Linked DNA regions of Danio rerio. The protein of the gene in region 2 binds, or shares a complex with, the protein of the main gene of each other region. Links are inferred from orthologs where the notes say so. Each region holds a gene or a part of one and is shown on either strand. Other genes may lie near its edges.

Evidence for each region.
Region 1: drc9 (region 2) and drc8 share a complex: the UniProt entries of both Homo sapiens proteins name them as parts of the nexin-dynein regulatory complex. The link is inferred for Danio rerio from reciprocal best matches to the Homo sapiens genes DRC9 and DRC8.

The regions. Positions count from the first base shown.
Region 1 is NC_133192.1:12,696,495-12,701,112, reverse strand, and holds the start of drc8 (dynein regulatory complex protein 8), read right to left. Parts: upstream 2,971-4,618; 5' UTR 2,955-2,970; coding exon 2,933-2,954; intron 2,623-2,932; coding exon 2,538-2,622; intron 2,408-2,537; coding exon 2,335-2,407; intron 2,246-2,334; coding exon 2,166-2,245; intron 180-2,165; coding exon 137-179; intron 1-136. UniProt on the Homo sapiens protein: Component of the nexin-dynein regulatory complex (N-DRC), a key regulator of ciliary/flagellar motility which maintains the alignment and integrity of the distal axoneme and regulates microtubule sliding in motile axonemes.
Region 2 is NC_133193.1:29,295,395-29,299,221, forward strand, and holds part of drc9 (dynein regulatory complex protein 9), read right to left. Parts: intron 2,500-3,827; coding exon 2,418-2,499; intron 2,248-2,417; coding exon 2,086-2,247; intron 289-2,085; coding exon 214-288; intron 1-213. UniProt on the Homo sapiens protein: Component of the nexin-dynein regulatory complex (N-DRC), a key regulator of ciliary/flagellar motility which maintains the alignment and integrity of the distal axoneme and regulates microtubule sliding in motile axonemes.

The DNA.
Region 1 (4,618 bases), on a different chromosome or scaffold from region 2:
TTAGATTAAAGTACAGTCCATTAAATCAATGCACTGGTCTTAGGTGTCTTGCATAGTGTCTTTGACACTGCTAAAAGTTTCACATGTTAACAAGGTAAATTCACACATTAAAAATTAAAAAACAAAACAGCCTCACCTCAAAAGCCTGTATGAGCAGGTCTTCTGTAATAGGACGAAACCTGCAAGAAAAAAGAAAGAAGCAGAGCTACAATTATCACTAATACTAGGCTTTGTATTAAATTTTATTGTGGGAAAAACTTTAGCAAAGTAAATATTTATTTAATCAAATGTTTATTTTATTTTAGTTTTAAGTTTTTACAGGTACTGCAAATTATGTTAAAACACTTATAGTCATATACTGTACGTCTCAGGGATGGATTTAGTGATTTTGGGGCCCTAAGCTGTTCCAGCCATTAGACCCAAAAGTTCTAAAAGGCACCTTTTGTACTTTAATTTTTTTATTATTATTTTGCTGTTATTTCTTATATCAATCAATCTCCTTTTCTACATTTTATCTTAATGCAAAATAATAATAACATGTAAAGCACCTTATAAAACTTTTTAAATCATTTGTTTTCTTAAGATAAATTCACTATAAATAAACAATTTCGTTTTTTAAAACTAAATCTTTACTGATTTGACAGCTGAACTGGTCCATGATTGAAGGTAGGGGAAAATATGATAGAAAGCAATGTTATATATAATATTTATATGTATAATTTATAATTCTAGGTATTTATTTGGGAGCCCTCAGATTAACTGGGGCCCTGAGCGGCCGATTAACTTGCATATTGTTTAAATCCACCCCCAGCACATCTACATGTAGAGGCAAAACATTTGTCTGCTTTAGACACGACAACACATTTTATTAGTGAGATTTTGGCTCACACAGGCCAAATATAGAAAAAGGGAAATCCAAATATTTCCATTGCTCTCTGGTCATTGATTGCAGAACATTTTAAAAAGCCCTGCTCCCTCAATGTTATCGAAGAGAAGGTAAGCGTTTAATTAATGTTTTCTTATTTATTCATTCTTTTCGGCTAAGTCCCTTTATTTTTTATCGCCACAGCAGAATGAACCGCCAACTTATCCAGGATGTGTTTAATGCAGCGGATGCCCTTCCAGCTGCAACCCAGTGCTGAGAAACATCCACACACACTCATTCACACACATACACTACGGCCAATTTAGTTCATTCAATTCACCTATACCACATGTCTTCGGACTGTGCGGGAAACCGGAGCACTAGGAGGAAACCCACGCCAATACAGGGAAAACATGCAAACTCCACACAAAAATGCCAACTGACCCAGCCAGAGCTTTAAACAATGACCTTCTTGCTGACAGTGCTACCCACTGCGCCACTGTGTCGCCTTGTTTTCTCGTTACATCAATTGTTGATGTATATACGGAACATTTTTTAATAAGTTTGCTTTTATTTGGATGCATGCCATTATGTGCTTGCAATTGGGTGTGTAGGAACTGTGGGAATTATACGATCCGTGCAAGTTGATACCTTGGACATTTTGGCTTCATCTTCTAGCACTATATATCCATGTACAGTTGAAATCAGAATAATTAGCCCTCCTGAACTATTAGCCCCGTTGTAAATGTTTTCCCCAATTTCTGTAACGAAAAGAATTTTTTCAACACATTTCTAAACATAATAGTTATAATAACTCATTTGACACATCAAACTGATTTATTTTATCTTTGCCATGATGATGATTTTCAACATACTAGTATTCAACTTAACGTGACATTTAAAGGCTTAACTACATTAATTAAGGTAATTAGGCAGGTTAGGGTATTTAGGCAAGTCATTGTATAATAATGGTTTGTTTTCTAGATAATCGAAAATAAATATTGCTAAAGGGGGCTAATAATATTGACCTTAAAATGTTTTTTTTTTATTAAAGACCATTATTTTAGCCAAAATAAAACAAATAAGACTTTTGCTAGAAGAAAAAAAAAATCCTTGCTCTGTTGAATATCAATTTAAAAATAACTGAGTAAGAAAAAATTATTTACAGGACAGCTAATAATTTTGAGTTAGACTGTATATAAATATATAGATGCATTTGTGTGATTTATCAGTCTGTGACCTTTTAAAAACATTAAGAATAATCTGGGTTTCATACTGTTTTATTTCATTACAGTCTTACTTGCGCTCCAGCAGGATCTTAGTCATAGTTGGAAGAAACTTCTCATAGCGCACAAATCCAGTGGGTTCTTCTTCTTCTAGCTGTGAATGAAATGACACTTCATAACTATTGATCTACTCAACTTACAAGAGCGATGCATTTTATGACCCGGCAAAACAAAACCACTGACCTCAGAGATGATATCATGCAATTCAGCTTCTGAAGGAAAACAGCCAAGTGAACGAATGATGGTGCCTATTTCCCTTTTACGGTGAAAAATGACAGATAACATTAAAGAAGTCTTCCTTGTTTGTAGAACATGTGCAGAACAAAGCTAACAGACATCAACAAATGGTCTAATATATTTTGAAAAACAGCGTAGTGAAACGTTACCTGACATCAACAGTCTTGTTGGATTCATGGTCAAATACATCAAAGGCATTCCCAATCCTCTTTTGAGTTTCTATTATAATATTTTCTGATAAAAAATACATTAATTAACGTTGTGTTTTTCCGCATTTTTATTTTATTTTGTGTGTGTGTGTTTACAAAGCAATTCAGCTGTAGATGTTCGCTGTCTGTGTGGTCTTTTACTGTTACTTTAACTACTCGACGTTAACAAACAACGTTACTGAAAACTTTTCAAACATCATTGATCTGGTAACAGTCGTAGTAATGGCAACTGTATTTAAAAACACGTCATGCTGAGAATACAAACACCATTAATAAGCATACAGTAAGCCCACAAACGTAAAAAAAGCGTAGCATTTTACGTGTAGCATCTTTACCTGCATTATACTTGTCCGCCATGTCTAAAACCCTGGTTGCTAGGTAACCTGAACACACTCGCCATTCAGACGGAGGGCAGGAAGTGGTTCTTCTACGTAGGAACCGCTTTCAGAAGTTTAAAAAAATGTTTCTGTTTATGCTGTTTATGATTGTTTAAATCGACCAAAATAAGAAATGCCGAACATCTTTTATAGACTAGCAAAAGTTTTTGCTCACAAAAGGGGAAAGTTCAGTACTGACTAAAAAAACAGAAGAAAAGGAAGAATGTAAGGAACATTTTTATACATCCTTTGTACAAGCATGAACGCGATTATTCGTTTGAAAGCACCAATAAAGAGTACATGTCTAAATTACCTATGTGTATAAATATGTCAGTGTTAAATAAAAATCAGAAGCACTTATACAATCCAGGAGAATATATAGGCTAAATAGTACCTGCTATAGTAATAAATAATCACATAGTCCAAACACTAATATTTCAGAGTTGCCAAAATGCGTGAAAGTCACGCAATTGACCGTATTCTCACGCTCTCACGCCACACATCAGTTTTCTCACGCAGTAAAATCATCTCCGTGAAATATTTATTCCGTTATAAAAAAACTCCCTATGATGTATGTAGCCTTGCTGTAGTCAACCTAAAACCTACAGTAGGTTGACACAAAACCAAAACAACACCCATTCTTGTCTTAGGACATTTTATTTGGCAAATGTTAAAATAACAGTAAGTTTATGACATGTTAAATATATAGTATAATTTGCTGGTTTTAAACATACAGCATATTAATAATAATAAATATAGTATAACAATCATAACATAACATCAAATGTTGACTAATGAAGGTACATTTATAACAACTATTTATTTGTTAGACTACTGTATTGTCAAACCATGTTGCATACAAATGCATTCAACAGACCTATATGACAGTGCATTGCTGTAGAGGACAAATAAAACGAGACAGGTGTTTAGAAAGAGTATAGTTTATTTAGTTTGACATGCAAACTTATCTAAACAAAGACACACTTTCAGAAAACAGCCCGAAAACATTATAATGCGCGCGCTCGTGATTATAACCCGCGGTTGTCTTCAACTGTTGTCTTCAATAGTCCTTCTTTGCTCAAAATCTCAGCTGAAAAACAAAGCAAAACATCACAACAGTCAGACACAGAAGAGCATAGAATTACCATGAGGCGACAATCTACAATTTGGGAAACAATAACGCGCTTTTTGAATAAATTAAATAAAAACAAAGCAGCTGCTTTCCATCGCGACAGCAATGACGAGCGATCGCTATCACTTCAAAATGGCGGAATCCGGGTCTGTTGCTCTTGGTCATTGTAAGCTCTTTGCATAAAGTTAAATCATAACAGTTACCATGGTTTCTATTTCAAACTATATAGTAAACTAAAGTTTGAAACTATGGTTTAAAATAGAAGATGAGTGGGCCTCGCTACTCCCACCCACCATAACCCTCGCAGCGAGGTCCCACTACCGGCCCCCCGTGTTTCCCTGAGGGTCCTCGGTGGTTGTTTGCTCCCTGCCTAGGGCTCAAAGGCCGCCTCGCCCCAGGGAGTGCACGAGAAGACCGGGCGCCAGGCCGTGCCAGTATTCACTGGATGTTGCTCGGCGGCACATTTCGAGCAACAAACACGTAATGTTCTTCGCGATATTGCGTTTATGTAC
Region 2 (3,827 bases):
CAAGTCCAAAGACATGCAGTACAGGTAAATTAGGTAAGCTGAAGTTGTCCATAGTGTATATGTGTGAATGAGAGTGTATGGATGTTTCCTAGAGATGGGTTGTGGTTCATTTCACTGTGATGACCTTAATAAAGGATGACCTTAATAAAGGAACTAAGCCGAAAAGAAAATGAACGGATGAATAAATAAGAATAAAAGCTATACTTAACTCACTGCATGTTGTTGTTTTAGGAAGGCCTCTGTTTCAAAGTGGACATTCTTTTCCTCCTCAATTTTCTCTTGAAGCATCTGAGTGCACAACCAAAAGTGGAATTAATAAATTACAATGTTATGGTATATGTGCATTTTACAATATGTGTGCATGCCGGGATTACTGGTAATACTGCATAGGCAAATTCTGAATTCATGAAACTTGATAAACTGTATCAAAAACAAAAATACTGTATATAGCGATATCTACTCAAAATTCCATAGTTTAAAAAGTGTTAGTTCTCCCAAACATTAACATTATGATCTTAATTACTCACACTCATGTCATTGCAAACCCCAGATACCTCCCTCCGACATCTCATTCTATATTGACAGCAAAATAGGCTTATTCAAAGTCTAGAAAATAACCAAACTACATCAAACACAAGATATATGCCATCAGAGGTACAATCGGAACATTATCAAGCTACAGGAATACATTTGAGCGCACATAATATTCTAATTCAACAGTTTCTTCTCCAGATTGTCAGTATATTGAGCACATTTTTATGAGCACTGTGTACTAATGTAATCTCCTCTAACAAAAAACACAGGCAAGGTAATATGTCAGAGAAGCAAGATATATAACAGTGAGCCCTATACTGACACTGAAGAAAATAATCTTTTGAATTAAGTTATTATTTGTTTATCTGGAAATATTCTCATTATACAATTAAAGATACATCGACTGTTTAAAGAATGTTTTGGTACCATTAAGATTTAGTATGCTTCCACACCTAGATTTTTGTTTCAGATCCTGGTGCATTTTCCCAGTTAATGTGGTTCATTTATCATACAGTATGTGAATCCAGCTATCACACATCGATCGCCTGAATGAGGTGGTCTCGGCTCGATTGAAACGAACTCTGGAGCAAATTGATTGTAGTAAGAAATCAATTAGATCTAAACCAGGCTATATCACAGTGTATTATGGTTGTGTAATAGCCATATTTAGCTATATGAAGAGAGAATTATGAGTAGGACGGGATATCATTCCTACCGGTTTCATATAAAATTTGAAAGTGAAAGCATGTTAACTAGCAATTAGGGTGAGCTGTTTATCCGTTATGAAAAATCTGTCATCTGTTATTTCTCTCTATAATGTAAAGCATATAATGTATAAGCCCACTGGTATGTATGGGACAGTCTTACATCTGTTTTATATCTGGTGACAATGTCTGTAGGTGTCTAAATTAAAAATTAATGTGCAGCTTTTTGCTTAAAATGTCTTTTTGCTCATTGCCATAAATTAAAATAAGGACGCATGACAGCTGAGCGAGACTCTTCAAAATAAACCATGAAACTCTGACCAATGTGAGGAGAGTTTAATTGCACATGACTTGTTTAAACTATTTTGGTCCGTTTAGAAACTTTACCATGTGAAAATGAATCACATCAAGAACAAAGTGCAACATTGTAACAATTTTAATCCCGGTTTCGGAACAAAAGGATCGATCCACAGGTGTGGAAGCACCCTTAATCTAGAATAACTTAATTTGTATTTCAAAGATGATTGAAAATCTTAGGGAGTTGACATGAAATGAGGGTGAGTAATAAAGCTGTATCTGTTTTTGTGTTTCAACGATGCAAATATACTTTATTTTTCAAAATGTCTTGATGCATAGCCTAGTAAAAAGCCTTGTAAGTTTTATCTGCTCTGACACACAATTTGACATGTCGATAGTGTGAAGACTTTGCCCAAAGTTCCTTTGTGTTTCAGTGGTTGCTAAATATTTTGGGTGGTCTCTAGGGCACTGACAATGAGGTACTGCAGAGCACTGGGTGGTTTGTGGGACACAAAATTATGAAGCAAGGCAGAACAAGCGAATCACATACCTTAACTTCATCTTCTAGTTCATTCTCTTTGTAACTGTTGTGCTTTGATTCCTGGTAGACCAGCTGTTCAGCACAGCTCTTCACAAATTTCCCTTGTTGGTTTGTCCTCACCCTCATGTCCTGTACCTGGTCTTTTAGGATGGCCACCTCTTCCTCAAGCCTCTGGGAAGAAAGTAGTATTTTCTTTAAGAAATATGCAAAAAATTTAGAGCTAACAAACAAAAAAGCAAACAAAAAAGTTAGCTAGTTTGTCGTTAGGTCAATTATAATGTCTTATTGTCACATTATTTTCATTTTTAAAAGCATATATGTGTTCAAGTCCATTAGATTACCTCACACTCCTCTGTTTTTTCTTTGCGAATGTCAAGTAACTGCTTTTGCAGTTTTTTAATCTGGCGACGACCTTCTTCCTCCCTAGATGTAAAATAGGGTATACAGTATTATGCAAAATTTTGGCCACCCCTGATAATTTTCATAATTGCAAGCTATAGTCTGCTGGCCTTTCAAATCAGCAGTTTCATTTGGATATATTTATATCCTAGAAAAAAAAGCAGCATTTCAGTTCTGACATAACATTAATTCAATCAACAGATGCAATGCAATTTAACTATTAACAAAGACAGACAGGTGCAAAAAAATTTCGCACCCCAACAAAATAATGACATCAATCTTTTGAACAGCCACCTTTTGCAGAAATAACAGCCTGTAGATGTTTCTTATAGTCAAGGATACGTCCCTGAATTCTTGCTGAAGGTATCTTGGACCATTCTTTCTTGCAAAAATAACTTCAGTTCAACCAGGTTTGATGGGTGCCGAGCATGAACGGCCCTTTTCAAATCAATCTATAGATTTCCGATTACGCTTAAATCTGGAAACTGGGATTGCCATTCTAGAACAGTATATTGTGTCTGAGCATGAAGTCCTTGGTAGATCTGGAACTGTGCTTTGGGTCATTTTCCTGCTGAAACATCCAACCCTGTTGTAACTTTTGACTGATTCTTGAACATCCAGAATCGGCTGATACTGGGTGGAATCCATGCAACCTTTAACTTTGACAAAGTTTCCAGTACCTGTGCTTGCCACACATCCACAGACTATTATGGACCCTCCACCATATTTTACAGTAGGGAGCAAGTTCTTCTTCTGGAATGCGGTGTCCTTTTTTGTCATGCAAAGCACCTATTGTCATGGTTTGGGAAGGATGAGGGAGTGAGGACCCAATTGCAGACGAAATTATTTATTTTAAAATAAAACATGACAGCAAAATAACAACCCAGAAGGGGAAACATTAATAAAACTAATAACCAATAAAAAAAAAAAACTAGGATGGAAAGGCTGGCAGGTATCAGAACTGGAACACTCAATACTGGAACAAGGCAACATGCAAGAAAGAACTGGCACAGAACAGCAGACATGAGGAGAATATAAGCAGAAGTAAATTAACACAGGTGAACAAACAGGTGTTAAACAGTTGAATCTAATAAACTAATAATGGGTTAACGAGGAGGGTGGGACTAGACAATAGACGGGAGAGCACCTGACACAAAGAGACAACACAAGCCATGTGCTCACATAAAATGAGACTAGAACATGCAGCCAATGAGGGAATTCATAAAGATAGCCTCTTTGGGGCTGGTGCAGACACTGGCAGGTGCTCTGGGGCTGGAGCCGACACTGGCAGGTGCTCTGGGGCTGGAGCAGACATTGGCGGGCGCTCTGGGGCTGGAGCCATTGTGGTAGAG